3 linked regions of the Ovis aries genome follow. The protein of the gene in region 3 purifies or fractionates together with the protein of the main gene of each other region. This does not show direct contact. Links are inferred from orthologs where the notes say so. Each region holds a gene or a part of one and is shown on either strand. Other genes may lie near its edges.

Region 1 (7,805 bases), on a different chromosome or scaffold from region 3:
ATTTCTAATCCCTAGAACAATGCAAATTCATAACCCACAATTCTTTGTTTGAATTAAATCACCTTGATTTGGTTTTGTTGCATTAAATCACCTTGATTTGGATTTCTCAGATTGATAAGAGTCTGCCAGCATCCTCAGTACCTTGAGATCTGTCCCTAGCACCTGTCTCCCTGAAAACACTCCTCAGGCCCAGGCTTGGCCACTACTGCTGACTTAAAAAATATTTACAACCTAAAAATTGAGTGTTCTGATTTACTCAGCAAGACTTCTTAGAACTTCAAGCCTGTGAGACACCATCTCAAGTAACTCTGATAAAACTGCTCCAAGGAGGTGAGGGGAGGAGCCAGGTTATATAGAAGCTTTGTAACAAAGAGCAGGTAGCATGAACATCAAAAGATTATTGTTAATTAAAGAAAACCAGATATACTAATTTGAGGAATTTAGTGCTTTTCTATGTGTGGGAAGATGCAAGTCTGGGCTCACTGCTATCCAGGACAGTAGCCTGTGTTTCCACATCCTGAGCTTCCTTTCCTCGGGGCTCACCATAGGAACTGGTGTGGTCTGATGGCTCCCATTCTTCCTAAGCGCCCATGGGGCTCACCAGCTCACGTTGGAGGACTACAATGACTGAGACCTCCCTGTTTACTGATATGATACGAAATATTTCATTTCTCACTGCCAGTCTAAACCCAACTTTCATTCCCCTGGCCTCCAAGACTCCAAAATGAAGTTTGTTCTTGGATTTGGCGTGATACTTTTAATTAGTGTGGGGCTTCCCTTGTGGTTCAGCTGGTTAAGAATCTGCCTGCAATGTGGAAGACCTGCATTCGATCCCTGGGTTGGGAAGATCCAGAGAAGGGAAAGGAGAAGAGAACGGCTACTCACTCCAGTATTGTGGCCTGGAGAATTCCACGGATTGTACAGTCCATGGGGTCACAAAGAGTCGGGTACAACTGAGCGACATTCATACACTTTAATGTGTGAATACAACATGTGTATTGTGTGACTGTGTCAATACAACGTGTGTTCAATATAATGGCTTCATGCTGATGTCCTGGAATGTATTAATATCATTTCTATTATTTCAACCTCTGGTTCTGAGGTTACCATTGGGGGGAAAAAAAAGTCTATCTATAGTCATAGTATACCTTAATGCTGGGCAACTGAGAAAAGATACAAAAGACACAAAATCCATCTTGACCACAAGAGCTGGAAAACTTTCTGTCCATGCTTTTGAAGATTATCTTTTGACACTAACATTTAAATATATATTCTTAATTTAAAGGAGAACTTTAGAAGTTTCAAAGAAATCAATAATATTGTCTCCAATTCAGTAAACCATTTTATCAATTAATCTTTTATTTTTTATTTCACACATCAATATTTTATAGAAAAAAAGGGCCTCTTAATGTTACACTCTAATTACAATGTTTTATTGATTCTTTCCGATGTAGAGACCTCAATTTTTACACAATCAGTAAATACAATAACTTAACACTTTTGAGGCTCATTAAAACATTTCCCATACTGTTTTACATATATCAATACTATTAATGGCTATATAACAGTCTATGAAAGCAATAGCAATACATGAAAATTTACTTATCCAGTTCCCAATTACTGGGCTCTTTTAAAAATTCAAATAAATGCACTCACTAGAAATATCTTTATACAAATAGCCTTTTTTCTTTTAAAATATTTTCCTGGGCATATGCTAACTCAGAGTGAATTAGATCTATAAAAAGACAGACTGGTTATAGGATTCTTATATTTTTCTAAATAGTTCTTCAAAAAACAGATATAATAATGCTACTGGTATGAGGATACATGCAACTAAAATTTTTTTGCATGAACTACATCAAAGTTGCTTAGTTTGCATTTTTAATATTAGGAAATCTGAATACCATTCTAAGAATTAACTTCTATTTGTTATCTTCTTGTTTGAACTTAATTCTTTCATAAATTTGCCGAGTAAGCCTTATGGATTTGCATTTACCTTTTAAAAAATAGAGTACTTTATCCTTGTATAATGCAGGTAGGTTTTATCCCATCTCTTGGGAGGCAAGAATCCCGTTTTCCTCCTAAGTTAAAAAGACATATCTTTGCTTGCTTATTAGCCTAAATTATCACAGTTCTGTCAAATTATATAAATCATCCATCCATACATGTTAAGTGGGAGTGTAGCAAATTTACATACTAACTTCACCTTATTGCCAGTTCTTCGGACATAATTTCATTTACATTAATCCTCGCAATAATTCTGAAAACATTATTTCTACTTTATAGATGATGAAAAGTAGGCATGATTTTCCCATGATTATACAACTGTAAGTAGTAAAGTGAGGACTACAATTATGGTTTTCAGATTTCCTATTTACTTCCCTTCCATTATACTAGGATGTAGTATATCTGCTTCAATCTGCTTCTATATAAGCATCTTTCTTAATTTATCCCAACACGGTTGTGTAACTTTCTTTAAATGGCTTGCATATACTAATACCCAAACACTTTAAATTGTAGCTTATCATTGCTGGAATCTAGAAATAAGATTAATTTTTAAACATTATATATCCTGCAATTTTCTGAATTAGTCTTTTGTTTATGATACTACAGGTTTCACTAATTTAAAAGCCATACTAATAGGAAAAATTTGTGCTCTCCTTATCTTTCTCATTTACATATGCTTATTAAGGATTTATTACAATGATGAGTTTTCCTCAACTATATACAAAAAATAGTACCAAGATTATTTAATTTCCGGTTGAGAATTATTTATTTTTCCCTAACAGGAATGATATAAGTTCTCAGTTTTAATAACTACTTATCACAATGAGAAACCAACACAGTCATTAACAGAGATAAATATTTTTATTAATATTTTTAGTTACCTGTAGTTAATACTTTGAATTTTTACTACTTTGTTCTGTTGATATTGATTTAATGGTTATCCTGTTGAACACTAACTGCATAATTCTGAGTGACAGTAAATAACTATTTTCCATTTGCTAATATTTTGCATTTGTTCAGATGAGAGCCTTTTCAAAATGTTTCCTCCTAGTACTGAGGCGATATTAACTTCAAAATGCAAGTGTTAGTATATATCTTTCTGGTACATAGATATTATTTATTCTTTGAACATTTGAAAAAATTCACCAATAAGCCCATAACAGTAAAATGGGTTTGTCAGAAAATTATACTAGGTTGGGACTTCCCTAGTGATCCAGTGATTAAGACTTTCCTTCCAATGTAGGAGGTGTGAGTTCAGTTTCTGGTTTGGGAGCTAAGATCCCACTCATATGCCTCACAGCCAAAAAACCAAAAAATAAAAAGGAAGCAATACTGTAACGAATTCAGTAAGGCTTTAGAAAAATGGTCCACATCAAAAATAAATCTTTAAAAAAAAAAAAGGATGAAAAGAAAATTATACTCTCCTCTAATTTTTAAAATGCTTTTCTCTGGTAATAATTTTTTATTTCCAACTTATTTGTATTCAAGTAGGAAAATAATAAATTCATTTCTTAGTTTTCAAAACACTTATTTTATCTAATCTAACATTTTCCTGTTTCTATTACTGTGGTTCTATCATCTTTTGCAACATCTCACTGATATTCTCAAATTCTTATGAGTAAAAATATTCCTCATATTGAAATTAAAATATTTTCAATAGGTCTGGGTTACCTTCACTTCCATTTAACATCTCAAATTCTTTTACATTTTAATAACTAATTTTTAGGTCTATTTCAGACATTTCATTTGTTTCGATAAGTATAAGCCTAGAAGCCAAGCAATAACAGATTTGCTAGATTCAAAATATATATATTAATATCAATTCATGACTTCTCTACTTCAGTAAGTTGAAATTTAAATTGTTCTTGTTTCATTTTTCTCACATACAGAAGAGCAACAAAAGTCTATTTAGAGCGTATTTTGCCCTAGTAACATGTTACTTTTTATAACATCATAATCAAAAGGTAAATTAAAAAGAATAATTGTGTTAAAGCTTAGACAAATTCTACTTCAGTGAGATTCATAGCTCTAAGTTACATGTATTTTTAATTAATCTTTACTTTCCTATTTCTCTGACTCAGTAATAAGCTGAGAGTCTGCCTACTTTGCTTCACTAGCAATGCTGGACTGGTTCTCATGAGCCAGTAATCTTTTCTTTCTCCTTCAGTACCTACACTCTACTAACAGTTAACATTAGTTGAAAGATTTTGAAATCATGGAAGCCTGGATTTCAATGTTGGCTCTGCCACAAATCACACTCAGAGTGAATTACTGTCTTTACTTCCTCTCTGAAAATGTATTATCTGCCTCACAGAGTTGTTGAGAAACTATAATGAGAGAGTACAGTAAGTGTGTGCTGCTGCTGCTGCTGAGTCGCTTCAGTCGTGTCCGACTCTGTGCAACCCCAGAGACGGCAGCCCACCAGGTTCCCCCATCCCTAAGATTCTCCAGGCAAGAACACTGGAGTGGGTTGCCATTCCTTCTCCAATGCACGAAAGTGAAAAGTGAAAAGTTAAGCCACTCAGTCGTGTCTGACTCCTAGCGACCCCATGGACTACAGTCTATCAGGCTCCTTCATCCGTGGGATTTGCCAGGCAGGAGTACTGGAGTGCGTAGCACACAGTAAATGCTCTGTTCCAGGGCAAAAGAAATGTAATTAAAGGGCTTATTTCCTATAGGATTATCATTCTCTGTCTGAGGAATAGAAATGGTGACTTAGGAAGGAAATTTACTTCTTCTGAGTTTCACAAGCTTGCTCTGCTAGAATATAAGCAGCTTTATAACTTCTGGTGGTTCTGGAAAAAAATATTTCTATCTTCTAGATAACAGCTAAGAGGCAGGAGCTGATTATGAAGGTGTCCACCTCGTTACTTGCTGGGACACAACCAAAGGGGCATGGTAAAGCTTCCTCTGATTTACTCCTAACAACTGTAGTGTTACTAATTAAAGCGGTGGTGCCAACAAAATGGTATACTTCACTTCCATTGAGAAATCTTGGGAAATCTACTCACAGATGGATTTTTAAAACCATCTGTAATCCCAGGTTAAAAATGCTTCAGGCATTCTGAAATATCTTTTCCTGGAGCAGTTTATTTTTTCTTTAGCCTGAATTACTTAGAAGTTCTTTTGTGCTCTGCATAAGTCTTCTGAAGTATTGAACCAGAACTAATCTTTCCCCCTAGATTTTCTTTGGACCAAACCTCCCAAGAATGAGCTTTGCAACTACTAACTGAACTCTCTGACTCTTTCCAATGTATAAGACTGGGATGACATCACTGCCTCATTGACTACAAGGGTCAACCAGGAGAATTAAACTGCAAGGTGAATTCTAAACATCACCTTTACAAATAAAAGATCATGCAAAACTATTCTTCCAACAATTACATATTTTATCACATTGGCACTTGCATTAGTTGCTATTGCTGCCACCATATCTATATGTTTCTATTATAAACAAAAGACCCACATAATTTCCTGTGTTTCACTACTCAGAGGTGGTAGCAACTGTAATAGCTGTAAAAATAATTTAAATATTCCTTAGATATCACCGTTCTGTAGACAATAATAAAATTTGAAGATAATCAGCAGATATAATATCATCTTCCTTTAAGCACCATTGCTAACACGGAACTCTCACATATATACCCAGTACTAAAATAAAGCTAATTCTGGGTCATGGAGCCCATTCTGAAACAAAACAAGTCCAATACCCAATACATCAGTCATTGATAGGTTAACAAAGGCATCCAATGACTAAAAGTCACAAAGAGAATTATAGACATCTGCATGACATTCATCATATAACCACATCTAATTACTCCTATAGGAAACTGTCCTTTAAATGAGAATATTCTGATGCCAGGACAAAGGCCCAAAGTAGCATTTCCAGTTTGTTTTTTTTTCTAATTTTGAAGGTGCTTCCCTGAACTTTCTAGGTTTTTACTTCCCTCAGAGGATTCTAGTTTGGCCATTACTATATTACTGGTTCCAAGAGGCTCTGATGGCTTTTCATCACCATCAAAGAAAATGTCTTCCGGATTTGGAGGTGGGGGGCAGAATTCTTCACTTGGAAAGATCTCGTGGAAGAGTGTTTCAGCTTGCTTGACGGCATGCTCACTTCCGAGTCCACAGTCAGGCCCAGTGCAGACATAAACGTTGGGAGGCAAGCCATTATATGAGCTTCGGCTGACTCCCGAGGAATCTCTCATGTTAAAATAAAGAGCCCACAAGAGTCCTGGCTTTGGAAGTTCTTCCTTGTCTACTTCTGTCTCAGAATACGGGGTGAATAATTTCTTCACCACTGATTCTAAGTCTTCTCTTGCTGTTTTGGAAGATGAACAGGTCAGATGTACCAGGTAGGTGTCTTTCATGCATGTCATGGTTGAAGAACATAATTCAATGATTCGGACAGCATGTGCTCCTGGTTCCACTGGAGGTACTATCAAAATGGAAATCTGCTGATCTGAATCTGTCTTTAGGACAGACTGATCTGTAATGAGCACTGCCCTGGATATCTGCTTATACTGCACACTGGAACATGTTTCCTCAGACAGGTAACTATCCTCCACAATGAAATATTTAGCATTTATCCTTTGACCAAGGTGATCTATAATTGCTTTACATCTTCCAGATTCTCTGTCAACTACAAGGCATTGTACTTTATGGCGAAGACAATATATTCCACCGAAAACTGCACACATCCTGCAGAAACACTGGGGAATTTCGCCTTGGCCATATAAGGGAAATAAAAAGGGAGTGTTGCCAAACCGTCCAAGACACTGAAGAAAGTTTTTTGTTGCTTTAAGGCCATCTACTGTAGTGCAAGATGATTCTGACATCATGGCAATCGAGTGAAGTATAAAATGTTGGAGGCTGGGGGTTAATTTTTTGGTTTTCAAGTACTCTGAAAATGAGCATTGTGTGAAAGCTTGGTATTCCTCAGGATGTTGTTCATAATCTAAACAAAATGTAAGAAATTTCATTAGCATCCTCTTTTCAACCATAGTGAGCTCTTTGCTATTAAAGACATCTGCTCTGGAACAAGGCACCTGCTCTACTTTTCCTTCTCGAAATGCAAGAATCCTAGTGACATTTTTAAATTCAGCGTAACGACTAACATTTGATTTGATTAACAGATCAATTAACAGTCCTTGAGAATAAAGCAACTTCGATGACAGATCAATATTAAACCTCCTGCCTTCTTTAACTATTTGAGAGTAAGCAATCCTCTTTCTCTTTGGTGGCACACTGTTGTTTTCCAATACAGGTTTGATTTCATCTTTAGTGCCATCTGAAAGTGTGTGTTTATAAGTATCATACCCACAATATTCTTCTTTCACAGAAGTTTCTGCCGTATCAGTTATTTCTTCATTGTTTTTTGGATTGTTGTCTACATTGTTGTCTTGTGTAGGCACTTCATAGCTAGTAATGTGTGATGAGTGAGTTTCCTCAGACAAGCTTGTAGAATCCAGAGGTTTTATGAGGGTACTAGATGCTACACAAGGATTTTTCTGCAGAGCATCAAGCTCTTCAATATTGCCATCCATGCCCTGACTGGCATAACAAAACACTTCGGCGTGTTGAATGGTTTCATCCTTCTTGCAAAGAGGGATGGCTTCTTCTGTTTCATGGATCATGTCTTGCCATGCAGCAGGGCTTTCTTCCACAGTGTCACTGTTTTGCCGATGTTCCTTCAACCAGGACAGCAATCCTGGAAAGCTGAAACTAGCCCAGTTTCCCCCATAGTAACTTCTTGAATCGAGATGCAGAACCCTTTGACCACTTCTGGAACATGCAGC
Region 2 (8,591 bases), on a different chromosome or scaffold from region 3:
GTAATATATTAAAAGGATGATAAATGATGATATATTAAGCTTTTGACTTGAGAAACTGATGAGAAGTTGGCAACATTTCTAAGATAGGGAACACTGGGTGAAGAGGTTTGGAAGTAAGGTTGAAATATTCAGGAATTCAGTACTGGATATGGCCAGAAGAGATAGGGTTGGATATATGGATTTGGAGTTCAAAGGAAAGGTATGGGAGAGAGACCATTAAACTGCAGTTTGTAAAAATTTTTATGGTTTGTAGAAACATCATATCCCACAGTTGAATAAACTTCTGAATACAAGGTAAATGTTCAGAGAATTGTGGTTTCTCAATTCAAGAAATCTTTAAATAAAAAAATAATGTCCCAATGATTTAACAGGTTAGTCAGTTTGTAGGTATCCATCAACTCATCATACTGTGATTTATCCACATAAAATATTTCAGTTCTCAAAAATAGATATCCTTAGAATAATATAATAGATAAAATTAAGCTGCTTTGCTGAATGCTATTTTGTTGATGTTGTCAACCCCTACATTCACTTTTGCCTTGCAAAAGATTAACACAAATACATGGGAAAGAAAAAGTACTTTGAGTGTTTTCTCCATGAAGACACTTTACATTTTCCTAATATAATAATCTTTTCTATGCCCAGAGAGGATGTGATAACTTCAGAGAAAGGGCAGCTAAATATAGGCTGGCACTTTGTTAAAAAATTATTTTTATTTATTTATGGCTGTGCTGGGTCTTCATTGCTCCACACAGGCTTTCTCTAGTTGTGGTGAGTGGTGGCTACTCTTTGTTGCAGTGCACGGGCTTCTTAATGCAGTGGCTTCTTTTTTGCAGAGCACAGGTTCTAGGCACACGAGCTTCAGTAGTTGCAGCACACAGGCTTATTAGTTGTGGCGCAGGGGCTCAGTTGCTCTGACATGTGGAATCTTCCTGGACCAGGGATCAAACTTGTGTCTCTTGCATTGGCTGGAGGATTCTTATCCACTGTACCACCAGGGAAGTCCTAGGGTGGCATTTTTATCTTTTTGAGGGTTGTGCTCTCTAGCTTTGGGGGAAAATAGTATTTCAAATCTGGGGGAAAACATAGTGGAAAATTTATACTACAGAGTAATTATTTTTTTTTACTTCATTAGATATGAAATTCATAAAGACATGTTCATTGCTGTAATTCCAGCATCTAAATCTTGCACATAGTATCTAAATACTTGCACATAGTAGGTACTCAATGAGTATTTAAGGAAAGTTAAATGAATTAATGAGTTGTGTCTTCCCAGTGTGATTATATTTGTTAGAAAATTTCTGAATCCACAGAAAGTTAGATATGGTCATACTGAAAATGATACACACACACACACACACACACACACACACACATATACACACACATACATATACCCAAATATCTCCAAAGACAAAAATACTTTCATTTATCATGTTTTTAACCACCCACCCATCTCCAAAATAGAGATTTCAGAAAGCTTTTTGCATTTCCTCTGGTAAATCTATTAATTTTTATTTCCACTGATGGTATTAAGAGTCTCACAGATCTCACAGTTAAGGTCTATTTCACTTCTGATACTACTCAAAACTTTCTATTTGTATCAAGTCAAATAGCAGAGTGATTTGCTAGACAATAATTTCCCTTTTCAGAGGAATCTCTATTACACAAAACATTCGTCAGAGGACACTTTCACAAAAGTATTGTTCAATACAAGAAGAGATTCCATAAGTGATATTAATACAACACTGTATGATGTTGCTAATGATTGTCACAAAACTCAACAAAGTGCAGCCAAAAACCCCAATAAAATACAATTTTAAAGACTTTTATGGAACTTAATGTGGTAACGAACATGTATTGAGCATCTTCAAAATATAAGATACATGCTAGTGATGGGCAGCTATCAAGGTGAAGACCCAGTCCCTGTCTCTATAGTACTTACCATTAGCGGAATCAGAGCTAAGTTGTTCAGCAAACACTTACTGAATTCCTGTTATACACCAGGATTGTGTTTGATGCAGGGGTAAAAAGATAAGTAAGGCACAACTCCTATAATTAGGGGCTTATAATTTAAGGTATGGTATATCTGGGTGTGTATTTTGGGGGCTATGTGTCCAGTATAGGAACCAACATAAACACAAATAATTTTTAGTGCAATATGGGCGGTTATGACAGAGTGGTAGCAAAATGTAGGGAAATTTAACCCAATATAGGGAAGAAATGCAGGGAGGACGTGGTGGAAATGACTGACTGAGTCTTGGGGATAAATGTTACCTGGAGAATGGGAAGATCATTCCATGCTGGAGGAACAACTGTGTGGCTGCAGAACTACAACAAGAGGTCAGACAGGTGGTGTAAAGAATGGTCCAACGCGGCACTTTCTTTGAATTATTTTGAAACTCTGGTAAAATAAACTACACGATGAATTTCTGGGATCAAAAAAGTACCCTCCCTCACTCCCATGCACCTTCCTTTTCTTTTTTATTTTGGTATTATCAGACAGCAAAGCATTTTAAGTAAGGGGGGTGAGGGTGCAGGTGGGAGGAGGCCAACCTTGAAAATACTTACGAGAGCTATATTAGCTGCTTGGCAGAGGCAATCTAATCCTCATCAAATACAATCACTTGAATACAAAGGCCACTTTACCTAGATCATCTCTGCAGGACCTTATTGGGAAAATCTTGTATGAACTCTTTGTATACGTGTATGAGACTAGATTCAGAATCAGTTAACGCGTATCAAGCAACTACTGTGCTTTCATTTTTCCCTCCTGCAACCAATATTAATATATAGCCAAGGTGGCTGTTTGGAGTAACTAGAACAAATACAGATGCAGTGAGGTTCCATTCCAGCGAAACTAGGGAGAGATTTTTTGTGGATTTTTATTGGGGCGACAAAGACAAAAAAAGATAAGCAATAGAGTATGAAGGTATTGGTGTGAAAAATTATGCTTTGGGGGCCAAAACGAAAGTATAGACACGCTAAGGGAAACAGTTTCCAGGCTGAAATGAAAATTTCCTTTGTTCACAGAACAATTCCCTTTCAATTTCACTCCACCCTCGTGTCTCCTAACAATTCTTGCTTCATTATTGTCAAGCAGTTCGCAGGTCTTCCTACCATTCATCCTAGCCATCAGAGTAAAAATCTACAACTCTTTTCTACCTCAAAACTCCAGGCTAAATGCGCTACTGTACTCAGCCTGGAAAAGGAATGGAGCTTTTAACGTTCGATTAAAAAGTTTCAAATACAACGCTGTAGCCTCCTACCAGGACCCACCACTCGATAACTACAATACCCAGAATGCACTGTTTCCCTTCCGCCATCTACCGCGGCAGTGCGGAACTTGATCTTATTTGCACAAGAAACAGTCACATGACACGTTTCCTGTTAAGATGGCGGACAATCTCCCTTCGGAGTTTGATGTGATCGTAATAGGGACGGGTATGTGTGGCTCTGGTACTACCTGGACAAAGTGTAGGAAGTCTGTCCCATTCCTACCTTCTCTGTCAGGAGCGAGGGTCGGCGAGAAATGTTGGGGTCGAGTGTGGGAGGGAGGACGGAAAGGAAGTGAGGTAGTCTGGAGTCAACGCGGGACTTGGGCGCTCCAGGGAGGGGCTTGGACCCGCGGTGCATAGCGCCATTTGAGTAGGGGTCGATATGGTTGATGCCGATTGCTGAGGTTGGTTGCTGCGGTGATTCCTGTAATTTCCTTAGAGGGAGGAGGGTTTGCAGTGTCAGGAGAATGGAGGGTGGGAATTTTATCGATGGAGACACCATGGCATGACATTATAATTTCCTCGCTGATTTCAAAGTGATATTCCCCATCATTTTGTCTCGCCATTTCATAGGAATTTTTCATATATTTATATAGTCCTAGGGTTCAGTGCATCTCGGATACAGTTTGTTACTCATTTGTTACCCATTTATGTTTAAATGTACTAAGGCGAGGAAGTGGATTCTTTTCTGTTGTGTTGAGAAGCGTGCTGCTGCTACTGCTAAGTCGTTTCAGTCGTGTCCGACTCTGTGCGACCCCGTAGACAGCAGCCCACCAGGCTTCTCTCCCTGGGATTCTCCAGGCAAGAACACTGGAGTGGGTTGCCATTTCCATCCCCAAGCATGAAAGTGAAAAGTGAAAGTGAAGTCGCTCAGTCGTGTCCAAAGCCTAGGGGGTTGTAATTTGTTGAGGTAGCCATTATTCCTGCTTTATGGTGCTGAAAGAAATCATTTTGCTTTCTTCTAGCCACCTATCTACCCACAGCTAAATGAGCTGAAAACAAGTTCTGTGAGTCCAGTTCTGGTGTGTGATCGTTTCTTTCTCTTGTTTGTCCACGGTTGATTCTTCATGTTTTGGGTGGTGCCAGAACTCCCTCTGCAGTTTCTAGTTGACAAATTACACGTACAACACGTGGCAGAAAACATTTGGAAAAAGTTGTTATTTTGTTTTTCTTAACAGTGTAAAGGGTGAATTTTAGATGGGATGAAATAGTTTGTTGGATGGGGTTTTGTCCTGTCTACAGAATGTGGTAGGCTGGAGAACCTCTGATGAATGAGACCCTGTCCATTGTGTTAATAAATTCAGCTCATTGTCTTCTCAAACAGTAGGAGCAGCCATGTTTCCAGGTCGGGAGTAAAAATACCTATTTTCGAGTGATTATTTGCTAATCCGTGTGCTAAGCTCTTTTACAAATCGTATGTAATCCTCATAACTTTGTTAGAATAGGTATTCTGTACACTTTACAGAGGAGGAAAAAGGGCTTAAAAAGGTTGCAGTTTGCTCAAGATCGCACTGCTGGTAAATTTCCAAAAGTCCATTGTATGCTAAAAGGAGAATCAGTAGTTCTGACACTCAGAATTAAACCATATTAATAGAAATAACTGAGAAAACTTGGTTGTAGACCTTGCTTGGCCATTAACCAGCTGTGTGAATTTCTAGGGTTAGGAACTTAATCTCTCAGAGCCTCAGTTTCCTTGGTTTTGAATATAGGCAGGATAAACTAAATAACCTTTCCAGTGTTGTCTAACAAAAAATTCACTTATTCTAGTTATACATGGGTGATTGTTCTCAAAACAGTAAGGACATGTTTATTCTCAACCTGAGAATTGCATGGCTACAAATTACCTTGCTGTAGCTGCTATGAACAGATCTTGGATGATAGCTAGAAGGAGTCAGTAGACTCTATTTATTCTCTCCAGTCTATCTTAAAACTTAGAACAGTATCCATTTTAGAATAGTTGTTATACCATACTTGGGTCCTGTGTTACTCCCTTTGTTTGTTGTACTTTGGAACTTAGGGCGTTTTAAAAATTACTTTGTATCATTAAAATATTTTTTCTTGATCAAAATTTTAATCGATAAGTGGCAATTCTTAAGTGCTGTTAATTATTATATAAGAAATATTTTGCTCTCTAGTTCAGTTTGTAATATGGACTATATCCATCTTCCTGGAGTCTGTTATGATAGAGGTAGGAAGATTCTGTGAGTGATCCAGAAAATTGCATCAGGAAACATCTGGCTTATTTGGAAAAAGATTCATTTTAGACTTATTAACATGAGAGTAATGTTACTTCTCAAAGTATGGGAAGAACTTATTTGAGTTAGAGGTTTTCATATCACTTAGTGAACACTTTAACTTTTCAAGCACGTTGTTTAAATTTATGATTTGAAGCTTTGTATTTAGGTAAAAGTCATTCCCAAATTAATGAATCCAATAATTATAATCATTATTGACTAAGTGATTTTTAATGTGTTTGGAATATTTCTCTTCTGAAATAGTATGCTGAAAGTGGCCTTTAAGATGTGTTTGCCTTACTAAGTGTGCTAGCTTGAGTCAATCAGAAAAATCAGTATTTCAAAGATTCAGTTTTGATAACAAAAGCAGAATTAATCATGCATGTATCAGAAACATGAAAGTGGGCTATGAGATGCAGTTTTTCTTTTAGCAGATTTAGTTTTAGTTAAAATGTCATAAAGAAACAGTTGCTTTATCAAGTAAAATAACCTGTGGATACTATTTTAAATCCTTTTGGCCTTGATTAACTTGTTTTTCTTTTCATTCTTCATAATATAACATTTTCATTAAGGTCATGTTTTGAAGAGATTATGGGAAAATAAATATTTGTATGTATTTTCTTAGTTAAGCCCATTTACTCCTGATTACAAAATACAGGAAATAATCTCTCAAACACCTGAAAACAGAGTTGTTTTCTTAAACCGTGCAAAATATAGAAGAAACCGAAAAAAGGAAGGAGGGCCAAATGGAGCCTCAAGGGAGAGAACAGAAATGGAATAGTGACTCCAGTATAAAATTAAAAAAAAATTAAAAGTGAAAAAAAATCATGACAATTATCTTAAAAAAAATAGATGTAGAGATAAGTGTCTAGAAAGTGGCCTTCAGTTTGGGTGCACGGTTGTAATTTTTAAGACATATTCCATCTATAAAGACATTTTAATAATAACTTTGTAGGTTACAGAGAAGTATCATTGGTCACAGGTTAAAAATCGTCCTAGTCACATAATAACATAATAGCACCTCACTGGATGTGACTTATCTGGCATCTTGTATAATCTGTAACCTGAAGCAGAGCCATCAATTCAACATAAGAGCAGGTGGGATGGAAGTTACAAGCATCATGGGATATTATTGGCATTCTTCTTACATAGGGGAATCCCTCATTCTTTCACTTAGAGCATATTCATTCTTATTTTAGAAAATTCTAGCATGCTCAGAGCATATTAAGTCTTAGTCACTCAGTCGTGTCCATCTCTGTGACCCCTTGGACTGTAACCCACCAGGCTCCTCTGTTCATGGGATTTTCCAGGCAAGAATATTAGAGTGGGTTGGCATTTCTTCTTCCAGAGAAGACACAGGAGATGTTAACAACTGCTGCAGAAGCTGTGTTTGGAGGGTGTCATTAGACCTAAGTGACAGTTTATAGCCTAATGTGAAAGGGGAAAGGCAAACACCTAAAATGCAAACCTACATCAGGCAACACAATGACCTGGGACCATTTGGCATAGGGACAGACTAAACATTTTTTAGAATATTCAGCCCAGAATTATTGAGAACCTAGTCCTTGCCCTTGTGACGTTTACTGTGTTACCTATTCTGAGGAGCTGTTTGGGGTTCCTGATAGTCACATGCTCAGAGCTGTTCTAAGACAATGTGGGCTTTTCATTGCATCTTTCTTGCTTTCTGAAGACCACATAGAGATTTATTCAGCATCCCTTTCCTTTCTAAAGTACATCACACATATTATATTTTGGAGTTCTTCCCCAAATGGGCTGTGGAGTAGACTAGCTTAAACATTTTTCCTGCAGAGGACAAACGTGGATCCTTTTCATTTAAGAATTTTATTGCTAAAGATTATGGGGAAATAAATGAAATAAGAAAAATGAAAAACATGGGGGAAATTACAGGGATATTGCTCATAAATCCTGACTGTCTTGCTATATCATGTTCAGCATAGTCCAGAATCAGTCATTGTGGCATCCTGGCATAAAGGGAATCACTTAACCTTCCTTCTAGGTGACTTTGGGCAAGTTGTATAACATCTTGGAACATCAATTTGTTCATTTGTAAAGTGAGAGACTTGAATTAGGTGACCTCTAAGATAGGCATCTCCCAACTCTAAAATTTACCATTGTGTGTGCATAATTATGACACTGGGTCCTTGAGAAAAGACTAAATTTTATGTAGTCCTCATCTGAAGTCAAGTCAGTGTTTTCAGAAATTTTTCTATCAGAGCAGCTTATAAAGAATCATTTTCTTGGAAATGATAAACTGCTTTCATCAGGAATGGTCATGTAGGTAGCACAGCTGAATTTCTTGATGTTCAGTTGTCACTCAGTCGTGTCTGACTCTTTGCAACCCCATGGACTGCAGCACACCAGGCTTCCCTATCCATCACCAACTCCCAGAGCTTGCTCAGACTCGTGTCCATCGAGTCGGTGCTGCCATCCAACCATCTCATCCTCTGTCGTCCCCTTCTCCTCCTGCCTTTAATTTTTCCCAGCATCAAGGTCTTTTCTAATGAGTCAGTTCGTCTCATCAGGTAGCCAAAGTATTGGAGCTTCAGCTTCAGCATGTCCTTCCAATGAATATCCAGGATTGATTTCCTTTAGGATTGACAGGTTTGATCTCCCTGCAGTCCAAGGGACTCTCAAGAGTCTTTTCTAACACCACAGTTCAAAAGCATCAATTCCTCAGTGCTCAGCCTTCTTTATGGTCCAACTCTCACATCCATACATGACTAGTGAAAAACATAACTTTGACTAGATGGACCTTTATCGGCAAAGTAATGCCTCTACTTTTTAATATGCTGTCTAGATTTGTCATAGCTTTTTTCCCAAGGAGCAAGGGTCTTATAATTTGATGGCTGTAGTCACCATCCACAGTGATTTTTGAGCCCAACAAAATAAAGTCCGTCACTGTTTACATTGTTTCCCCATCTATTTGCCATGAGGTGATGGGAGTGGATGCCATGATCTTATTTTTTTGAAGGTTGAGTTTTAAGCCACCCTTTTCACTCTCCTCTTTCACCTTTGTCAGAGAGGCTCTTTAGTTCCTCTTCCCTTTCTGCCATAAAGG
Region 3 (7,540 bases):
TCCCCAGTCTGCAGAGTACCCCTTTCTTCCACTGAGACAAATGTCTGGTGAGCTGGAGGCCGGAGTTCTCAACTTGGAATTCTTCCTAGGAATCCTGACCAACCGGCTGCAGGCACCTGCCCAATTCCATCCCAACCCTGAGAGAAACACCACAGAGGCCACCAACAGAACCCCAAGGCAAAGAGGAGGTCAGGCATCTTCCGGAAGGTTGGGACCCTGTTCTTAGGTTCTCTTCTCTCCATCCTGCCATTGTCCCAGCTCTGCCCATGGGACACTGAACAGAAGACAGTAAAAACAGGGAGGGCAAGGAGATACAAGGAAGCTGCCTGGAGGAGAGGCTGAGTTTGGTGATGCATGTGGCAGGGAGGTGCCTAGGGGAGTGGGGACAGAGGCTCCAGGACCTAGCAGAGCCCTCCGCATCTTCATGACCTTTTCCTGTCCAAGTCTAAGCTCCAGACCTGGCAGGGGGTGGCTAACCCCACCTCCAGCACATTCAAGAATAGAAATCACACTAGCAGAAATAAAATTTCCAGGCAGGTCAGCCAAAGGGCTTCACGGAAGGCTGTTTGTATATCACTCCAGATACAGAAAGGACAGGGAGGGCCCTGAGAGTCCAGTGTGTGTACATGTAGGCCCAGGTAGATTCTCAGGGAAACAGGAAAATGCCTGGTCACATTCTCTCCCTCCTGTTTCAATCAATCTTTCTGTTTCCCCACCCAGCCAGGTTTGACTCAGGGCCCTCACCCCTGAGCCACTCCCCTTTCGTCCCAGGAGGCTCAAGTGCCGCAGGGCTTTCAGAGTCAGGACAAGGTACTTGTGTGTGTTGGAGGGGGGACCCTGGGAAAAGACACTATCTTTGTACTTTAGGAGCTAAGGCCAGGTTCTGCCCAATCCAGAAGCAAGAACATGAATCTGGAATCCCAGACCAAGTTACAGAGACAGCTTTGGCTCCAGCACTTGAGCTCAGCAACCTTGGGTACGTCTGAACAGCAGTTTCCTCATCAGCACAATGGGCCTAATCATCTCAGCCCTGAGAGCTTGCGGGGATCAAATGGGATCAAGTATTTTCAAGCGCTCTTTATCCTGGGCATGCTACTCATGGAGACTAATAGTGTTGTTATAAGACAGTGGAGCCAGGGCACCCTGAACACACCTCCTGGGAACAGCTTTGGTGAAGGAGAGCCAGGGCAGACAGGGTGTCTGGAAGGGACACAGATCACAGAAGAAACTTCTCTCAGCCTTTCTAGTTGGAGAGACTTCCAGGTGCTTTGTAGCCCCACTCAAACTAGAACCTGAACCCAAACCTGATGCCAGCCTGGAGGTTAGGCGCAGCCCAGCCCCAAAGCAGAAGGCAGACTCCAATCCAGCCGTGGCCCTGATTCTGCCCCCAACATGGAGGTTCTGCTTCTCCCCGACAGGGAACAGCAAGACTGAGCATGAAACGGAAGCACAGCGGGGGAGCCGACATATCTCTCTCCTTTTCTTGTCCAGAAAAGCAGTGGTGACAGCAATAACGGTGGTGGCGGCAGCAGCTTAGCAGTGCTCAGGGACCTCCTCATTGTTTATTCAGTTCCAATAAGTTAAAGGGCAAGGGTGGGGGCAGGGCCTCTTAGGTGAGGATGCTGCTAACCGAAGGCAGCAGCTCGGCCAAGTGCTCCGAGCTGCCCTCCGCCTGGCACAGCGGGTTGCCCTGCAGGTTGAGGAGGGTCAGCCTGGGGCAGGAGGCGAGAGGCTGGAGCACCGCAGGCTGTTGGAGGCCTTGGGCAGGAGTCAAGGAAAGCTCAGCTGGTTCTCCAGATCCGCCTGCTCCTGAACACCTGTCACTGCAGATCGAGCACTGCTACTGAGCAGCCCGCTGGATGGGCCCCTTGGCCACTTCACTGTAGGACACAGGCCTCTAGGCTGCAGATACCTGCCCCTGGGAGCCAGGCAGGAGGCACAGGACCCTGAGGGGATATGGTCCCGGAGGAGTGGTGGAAACTATGGCCAAGGGGAAAGCCAGCCCCTGCTGCAGAGGCGCCCATGATTCATCAGTGGCCAAGGGCTCCCAAGTGGAAATGCAGGCCAAAGCGTGCTTCAACTTACACATTTGAGAATAATCAGAATTCTAGATTTTTAAAGAATATAAAACCTCCTGATTTTAAACATACGATGTGGTACCCAAGAACATCTGTAGGCAGTGGTTTGTGAACTTAGGTTTGAGGGAGTCACTTCCTTCCATCCTGCAAAACTCTACCAGTGAGAGTCAATGACAGCCTCATACAGCGCCAGACTATCCTCTTCTCAGTTCAGATGGCCAATGCCCCCTCCTCACGCCCGGGGCATGCCCGCCCTGCCTCTTGGCCATCCCTTCCTGGTGTGGCACCTTGCCCTCCCTGCTGTCTGAATGGCACCCAGACGGAAGGATACGGTTGTTACACAGGACAAGCTCCTGCAACCGGGGCAGGTTGGTGACACCATCCAGGGATTCAATTACGTTATCATTGGCCTGCAGCACCTGGGAGCAGGGAAGACAAGGCAGGTAGGCAGGCAGCTGTCAGTATGGGATTTGTACAAGCCACCGGGGAGCCCAGGGTGATCAGCTTACAGGGCATGGAAAGGCTCCTGGGGTCAGGCTGGGTGACAGAAGAGAAGGCTGGGGTCATCTGTGGGGGCTGGGAGGACCCGGGCATCTCTTAGTAGGGTGGAGTGACTTGTGAGGTGGAGGAAGGGGAAAGGGAAACCCAGAACAATGACAGAGGATTGGGGGCTTTACCTCAAGGCAGCGCAGGGCAGCCAGAGCAGGGGGCAGGGCTCGGAGACGATTGTGTGACAGGTCAAGGTGAGTGACCAAGAGCAGCTGCTCCAGATGGCAGAGCACCGTCAGATCCTGAGGAGGGGGACGAGATACCCAGCGAGGCCTGGCGGACAGCTCTCAGCTGTCGTTTATCAGGCCTTTGCCCAGTGCGCCCCACACAGGCCCTGGGGGGTCCCCAGCTGAGGACAGGAGGGAGCAGCTGGGAAGCATACCTCACCACCCCCAGTAGTACATGCTCCTGATCAGGGACACGGGGTCGGGGTGGCCTGTAGTGCAGGGAGCGGGGCAGGTACACGGTGCTGGTATGAACACAGATACCAGTGGGAGAGGGCCCAGTGAGCCCGGAGTTGGATTGGTGGGAGCAAAGGTGGACAGCAGCACCGTGATAAAAATAACGTGTTGGGGAGATTGATTAGGAACGACTACAGAGGAAAAACAGAGTCAGGAGTTTGTCAGGAATCTCTGAGAACTATTCAGCTGTTAGGTGTTGGGGTCTGCCCCAGGGAGAGAAGCATGGAATGAGCTAAGGAAGAAATGTCCAGAAGGGCACGTGAGATGGAAGGCAAAGCGGGGGACGGTGAGTGTCTTGGCTGAGGCCTGAGGAGCAGATATAGACACAGCCGGTCCTGAGGAAGAGGGAGGCGGGCCAGCGGGGTGAGGGTGGGGGAGGCGCATGCGCACGCCCTACCTTGTGACCCAGGTGCAGCACGCGCACCTCCGCGTACTCCATCTTGAGCACGCTGTTCTCCAGCAGGAACTTGCTGCGCAGGTCGTCCAGGTACGCTGCCCTCATTGGGTCCACAGCCTGGCGGGGAGAAGAGAGCACAGGGGCTGTGTGTCAGCTGCCTGGCCGCTGCGTGCTGGGCTGCCCCGGTGCCAACTCCCGCGGACCCAGCTTGCCTTGAGGGTTTGGAAGTACTGCAGGGTCTCCTTCTCGTACTGCAGGGGGTCCAGCGCCCTCATCAGCAAGATGATGGTGAGCAGGCACCCTGGGGAGAGGGTGGGGATTAGGACAGAGGGATCCTCCTGGCAAGGAGCCTGCCTAGGATGGGCCCCCAGAGAAGCAGGAGCTCGGGGGAATCGGGCCTCACATTTATTCTCAGGCTCCAGCTCCTGCAGCTCCTTACAGGACTCCAGCTCCGACTGTAGCACGGTGGACTTCTCCACTGACAGCTCACACCTGAGGGTGGGCAGGGTGGGGGAGCAGTGCTGGTCATCCCCAGTAGCCAGTCTGAGACATCTGCTTGAGCCCTCAGCACCCCACCCAGCTGCCCAGAGTGCACAGCCCTGCTCCTATCCGTGTGCTTCCCTGTGCTCATCACCTGAAGAGCTGCTCATCCGTGGCGGAGTCCCGGCACCAGCCCTCTTGGCGGCCTGAGAGACAGAGCAGGGGTAGGAGAGGACACCCATGAGACGAAGACAGGGATTGGGGGCGCTGCTGCAAAGGGGGGAGGCTGCAGGCTGGCTCACCTTTTAAGAGCACACACTCCTTCTGGGCATCGCCTGCTGTCCAAATGACACGAAATGTATGCTGGGGCAATTGGTCGTTGAGGGAGGTGGCGGGCAGGTCACAGAGCTGGGAGCACGGGGTTAAGAGAAAGCCCAGGCTGCACCACTTTTCTGACTGTCCCACCCCAGCCCTGTCCCAGCCCCGACTCCACCCACCAACCCTGGGATACCCAGACGTGGCTAGGCCGGTTCCTGCCCTCTGGGGTCCTCCACTCCACAGCCAGGGGTGACTCATCAACCATGAGCAGCAAGGTCTCCATGCCGGAGCCCACCTGATGCAGGGGACAGAGACAGACCATCACTCCAACGGCACCAGGCCCACCATCCACGGTACCCTTCAGCAAAAGCTTCGGGACTCACGAGGAGAGGCCGAGAGAAGGAGACAGTCAGGCATGCCTCATCCCGGCTCACGTGCAGGCAGCGCAGGGCATCCTGGGGATCAGCTGTGAGAAGAAACAGTCTCAGGTCTCCTTAAATATCCTTCCATTCCTTCTTGGCTCCAATCCCCCACTTCTTCCCTACTGTTCACCTCGTCCCAGGAGCCAGCGATGGTAGAACCAGGCACTCTGATCATTGGGGTCAGTGAAGAAGGCGTTCTGCACCAGCTCCAGCTCTGCAGGGGCCAAGGAGGCATGGTGCTTTGGTTAGGACCCTTCTGGGCTCCTGTCTACCCCTACATACTGCCCTCTCTTTGGAGAACTTCCTGCCTTCAGTTTCACTTATATGCCAGCCTTACCCAGGGGCTGCGTACATCAGGAGCCAAGTGGACACTTGGGCTCTCTGCAGCCAGGGGCTGGATCTTATGCATCCCCAGAGCCAGGCATTTTCCCGAGTGGTAGGTTCAGGAGCAGGCCTAGGCATCAGGGTCAGAAGGGCAGCATGGGAGAGTCCTCTCAAGCACTCCCTGACCCTGCTTACCTTTGAGCAGCACATCCTCAGGGAGGCGCCCCTGGGGTCCAGAGTCTGGCTGAGGGTGCAGCTGGGGCAAGAGGCAGGAGCGGTAATGCCAGGAGGAGTAGTTGGAGAAGTTTCGGGTGATGAGGCTGTCAGTGAAGGCAAGCTCCTCTGCAGGGGGCACAGCTGCCTGTGCAGCCACAAACCGCCGGTAGTCCCAGCAGTGAACTGGGGGGATAGGCAGACAACACATCTCAGAAGCAGGGCAAGAGCTGCCTGGCTGGGACCGTGGCATCCCCTTGGAGACCCCAAGAAACACCTCTGTGCCCTCCATGGAGGACACATTTGGCCTCGTCATCCCTTGTGTCATCAGCTCAGTGGACCCATCCTGGCCATCCCTCCCAACTCTGGACCTTACTGAGGCCCTAGTACCGGGACATGGGGCAGGTGTAGGCAGAGAGACAGAATCTGCAGGCACGTACAGTTCCGCTCGTCAACCTCGAGGAAGCGGGCACACAACTCCAGCTCCCGGGCCCAGTTGGGCTCTGGCAGGCGGCCCAACAGCCAGCAGCGGTGGTGCCAGGTACCATAAGACTTGGGGTTCACCCTCAGGCAGCTCTCCAGGAAGCCCAGTTCTGCCTTCACCAAAGCGGCCAACTCCTCAGGGGACCTGTGCCCAGAGGAATGGGGGTCAGGGCCCTCCAACACCCAGTCTCATTTCACCCTTGACTTTTTGCACCTAGCCCTCCACTGCCCTCTGCCTATGCCCCTGGCTGCCCCATTCTTCTTCCACCCCTGGACCTAGGCCGGGCAGGGCCAGAGCGAGGGCCATCTTCCTTGGGCCCTAAACCTCTACATACTTCTGGACCTCCAGCTGCTGGAGCACCTCTCGTCGACAGTTCCAGAGGGTGGCAAAGTCAGGGTTGGCTCCCAGAATCTGGCTTGTCAGTTCCAGCACTGACTCATCCAGCTCTCCAGCCTGGCGCTGAGAAGATAGATAACAGGATCAGGGATCACATCACTCTTCTTCTACAGAGCTCCATAACATAAATAGAACTACTGAATGTTCTGTGAATGCCACACTTTACTACAAGTACTATACAAAGCCCTTTATGGGATAATATGTAATCTTGCAATCATTGATTTTCACAACAGCCTTATGCAGTAAGTACAATCGTTAGCCCTGTTTTACAGATGGGCAAATTGAGGTCCAAAGAGATTCAGTAGCTTGCCTAAGGACACACAGCTAGTAAGTGATAGAACCTAGATGTGGATTCTAGCAACCTGACTCTAAGGCGCAGTTCTTGGTCAAGTGCTATGCTAAGGGAGCCACGGTGGGAGGGGACTACCTCTGAGGGCCCCACCTTCTGGAAGACAGTCTGGGTGGCTGCCTGGTATAGCTTCAGCTTCTGTTCCCGCTCTAGTCTTTTGGCTTCCGCTTGCTCTTCCGATGTCTTCACCTTCAGGCGCCCGTGCTATGGTTGCAAGAGTGCAGGCTGCCTTGCTGGGGCAGACCCACCGGAACCACCCCTGCGGAGCCCCAGGTTTATATCGGGAAACGGAGGCAAGCCCACGCCGGACAAGGGCAAGGGCGTGCGCATGCAGAGGTGAGGAGCTGGGCTCAGGGTTCTCACCATGGTGCTGGCTCAGATTCAGGGCAGGGGAAGGGTCCAGTGGTGCCTGTGAAACCTGGCGAAAGACGTGTCAATCATGGGAGTCCCGCCCCTCGGAGCCCCGCCCCTCGATGTCCCCAGGAAACCGTGAGCAAGCCCGGGCGGAGACCCCTGGGGTGTTAAGGGGTCCCGGGACAGACACTGCAAGTCCAGGAGGAACCCACCCGAACTGGTCTTGCACACGTGCGGCCCTGCCTACAGCCCGATCCGCCGGAGCTGGGCCCGAGTTGGGGCACTTAGCTTATGGAGACCACTCTGTGCCCAGAGGTTGCCGCTACCCGCCCGCCCCAAGGTTCCCAAGCACTGCTGCCCCCCGCGGGCGGACCCACCTGTGCTGGGAGGAGGCGAGCGGGACGCGGAGCTGCGGCGCCCGCCACCGAGCCCGAGCGCTGGCTAGAGCGGCGTCACGCTCTGGCTTCTCCGAGGCGCAGCGCCCTCTGCAGGCCTGGGGAGGGGCTCGCAGGAGAGCTTCCGACTCCGGAAGCGCCTGCGCAGGATTCCTGCGCGCTCTGTTCGAAAACGCCAAGTCCTTGTTAGCCTTCTGGTGTGTTAGTGTGAACGCTTAACTCTGATGAGCTCGGGAAAGCAGCGCGGGGTGCAGTTCCCAGCCAGCTGCTCAAACTGCGTTTCAGTTGAAAAAATTTCTTCCACAGTCGGAAACCACCCT

What was found.
Region 1: the proteins of RABGGTA (region 3) and CHML purify together in Homo sapiens (co-immunoprecipitation; 3 studies listed by BioGRID and IntAct, counting the BioPlex papers as one, with this or other methods). This does not show direct contact. The link is inferred for Ovis aries from reciprocal best matches to the Homo sapiens genes RABGGTA and CHML.
Region 2: the proteins of RABGGTA (region 3) and CHM purify together in Homo sapiens (co-immunoprecipitation; 4 studies listed by BioGRID and IntAct, counting the BioPlex papers as one, with this or other methods). This does not show direct contact. The link is inferred for Ovis aries from reciprocal best matches to the Homo sapiens genes RABGGTA and CHM.

Annotation. Positions count from the first base shown.
Region 1 is NC_056065.1:34,434,066-34,441,870, reverse strand, and holds the end of CHML (rab proteins geranylgeranyltransferase component A 2), read right to left. Parts: coding exon 5,910-7,805; 3' UTR 1,342-5,909; downstream 1-1,341. UniProt on the Homo sapiens protein: Substrate-binding subunit (component A) of the Rab geranylgeranyltransferase (GGTase) complex. Binds unprenylated Rab proteins and presents the substrate peptide to the catalytic component B.
Region 2 is NC_056080.1:77,648,307-77,656,897, reverse strand, and holds the start of CHM (rab proteins geranylgeranyltransferase component A 1), read left to right. Parts: upstream 1-3,373; 5' UTR 3,374-3,395; coding exon 3,396-3,444; intron 3,445-8,591. UniProt on the Homo sapiens protein: Substrate-binding subunit of the Rab geranylgeranyltransferase (GGTase) complex.
Region 3 is NC_056060.1:20,712,656-20,720,195, reverse strand, and holds RABGGTA (geranylgeranyl transferase type-2 subunit alpha), read right to left. Parts: upstream 7,269-7,540; 5' UTR 7,038-7,268; intron 6,890-7,037; 5' UTR 6,838-6,889; coding exon 6,835-6,837; intron 6,676-6,834; coding exon 6,565-6,675; intron 6,186-6,564; coding exon 6,061-6,185; intron 5,871-6,060; coding exon 5,683-5,870; intron 5,429-5,682; coding exon 5,225-5,428; intron 4,920-5,224; coding exon 4,836-4,919; intron 4,750-4,835; coding exon 4,667-4,749; intron 4,579-4,666; coding exon 4,477-4,578; intron 4,374-4,476; coding exon 4,268-4,373; intron 4,172-4,267; coding exon 4,120-4,171; intron 3,978-4,119; coding exon 3,889-3,977; intron 3,787-3,888; coding exon 3,698-3,786; intron 3,603-3,697; coding exon 3,486-3,602; intron 2,870-3,485; coding exon 2,756-2,869; intron 2,498-2,755; coding exon 2,410-2,497; intron 1,759-2,409; coding exon 1,610-1,758; 3' UTR 1,534-1,609; downstream 1-1,533. UniProt on the Homo sapiens protein: Catalyzes the transfer of a geranylgeranyl moiety from geranylgeranyl diphosphate to both cysteines of Rab proteins with the C-terminal sequence -XXCC, -XCXC and -CCXX, such as RAB1A, RAB3A, RAB5A and RAB7A.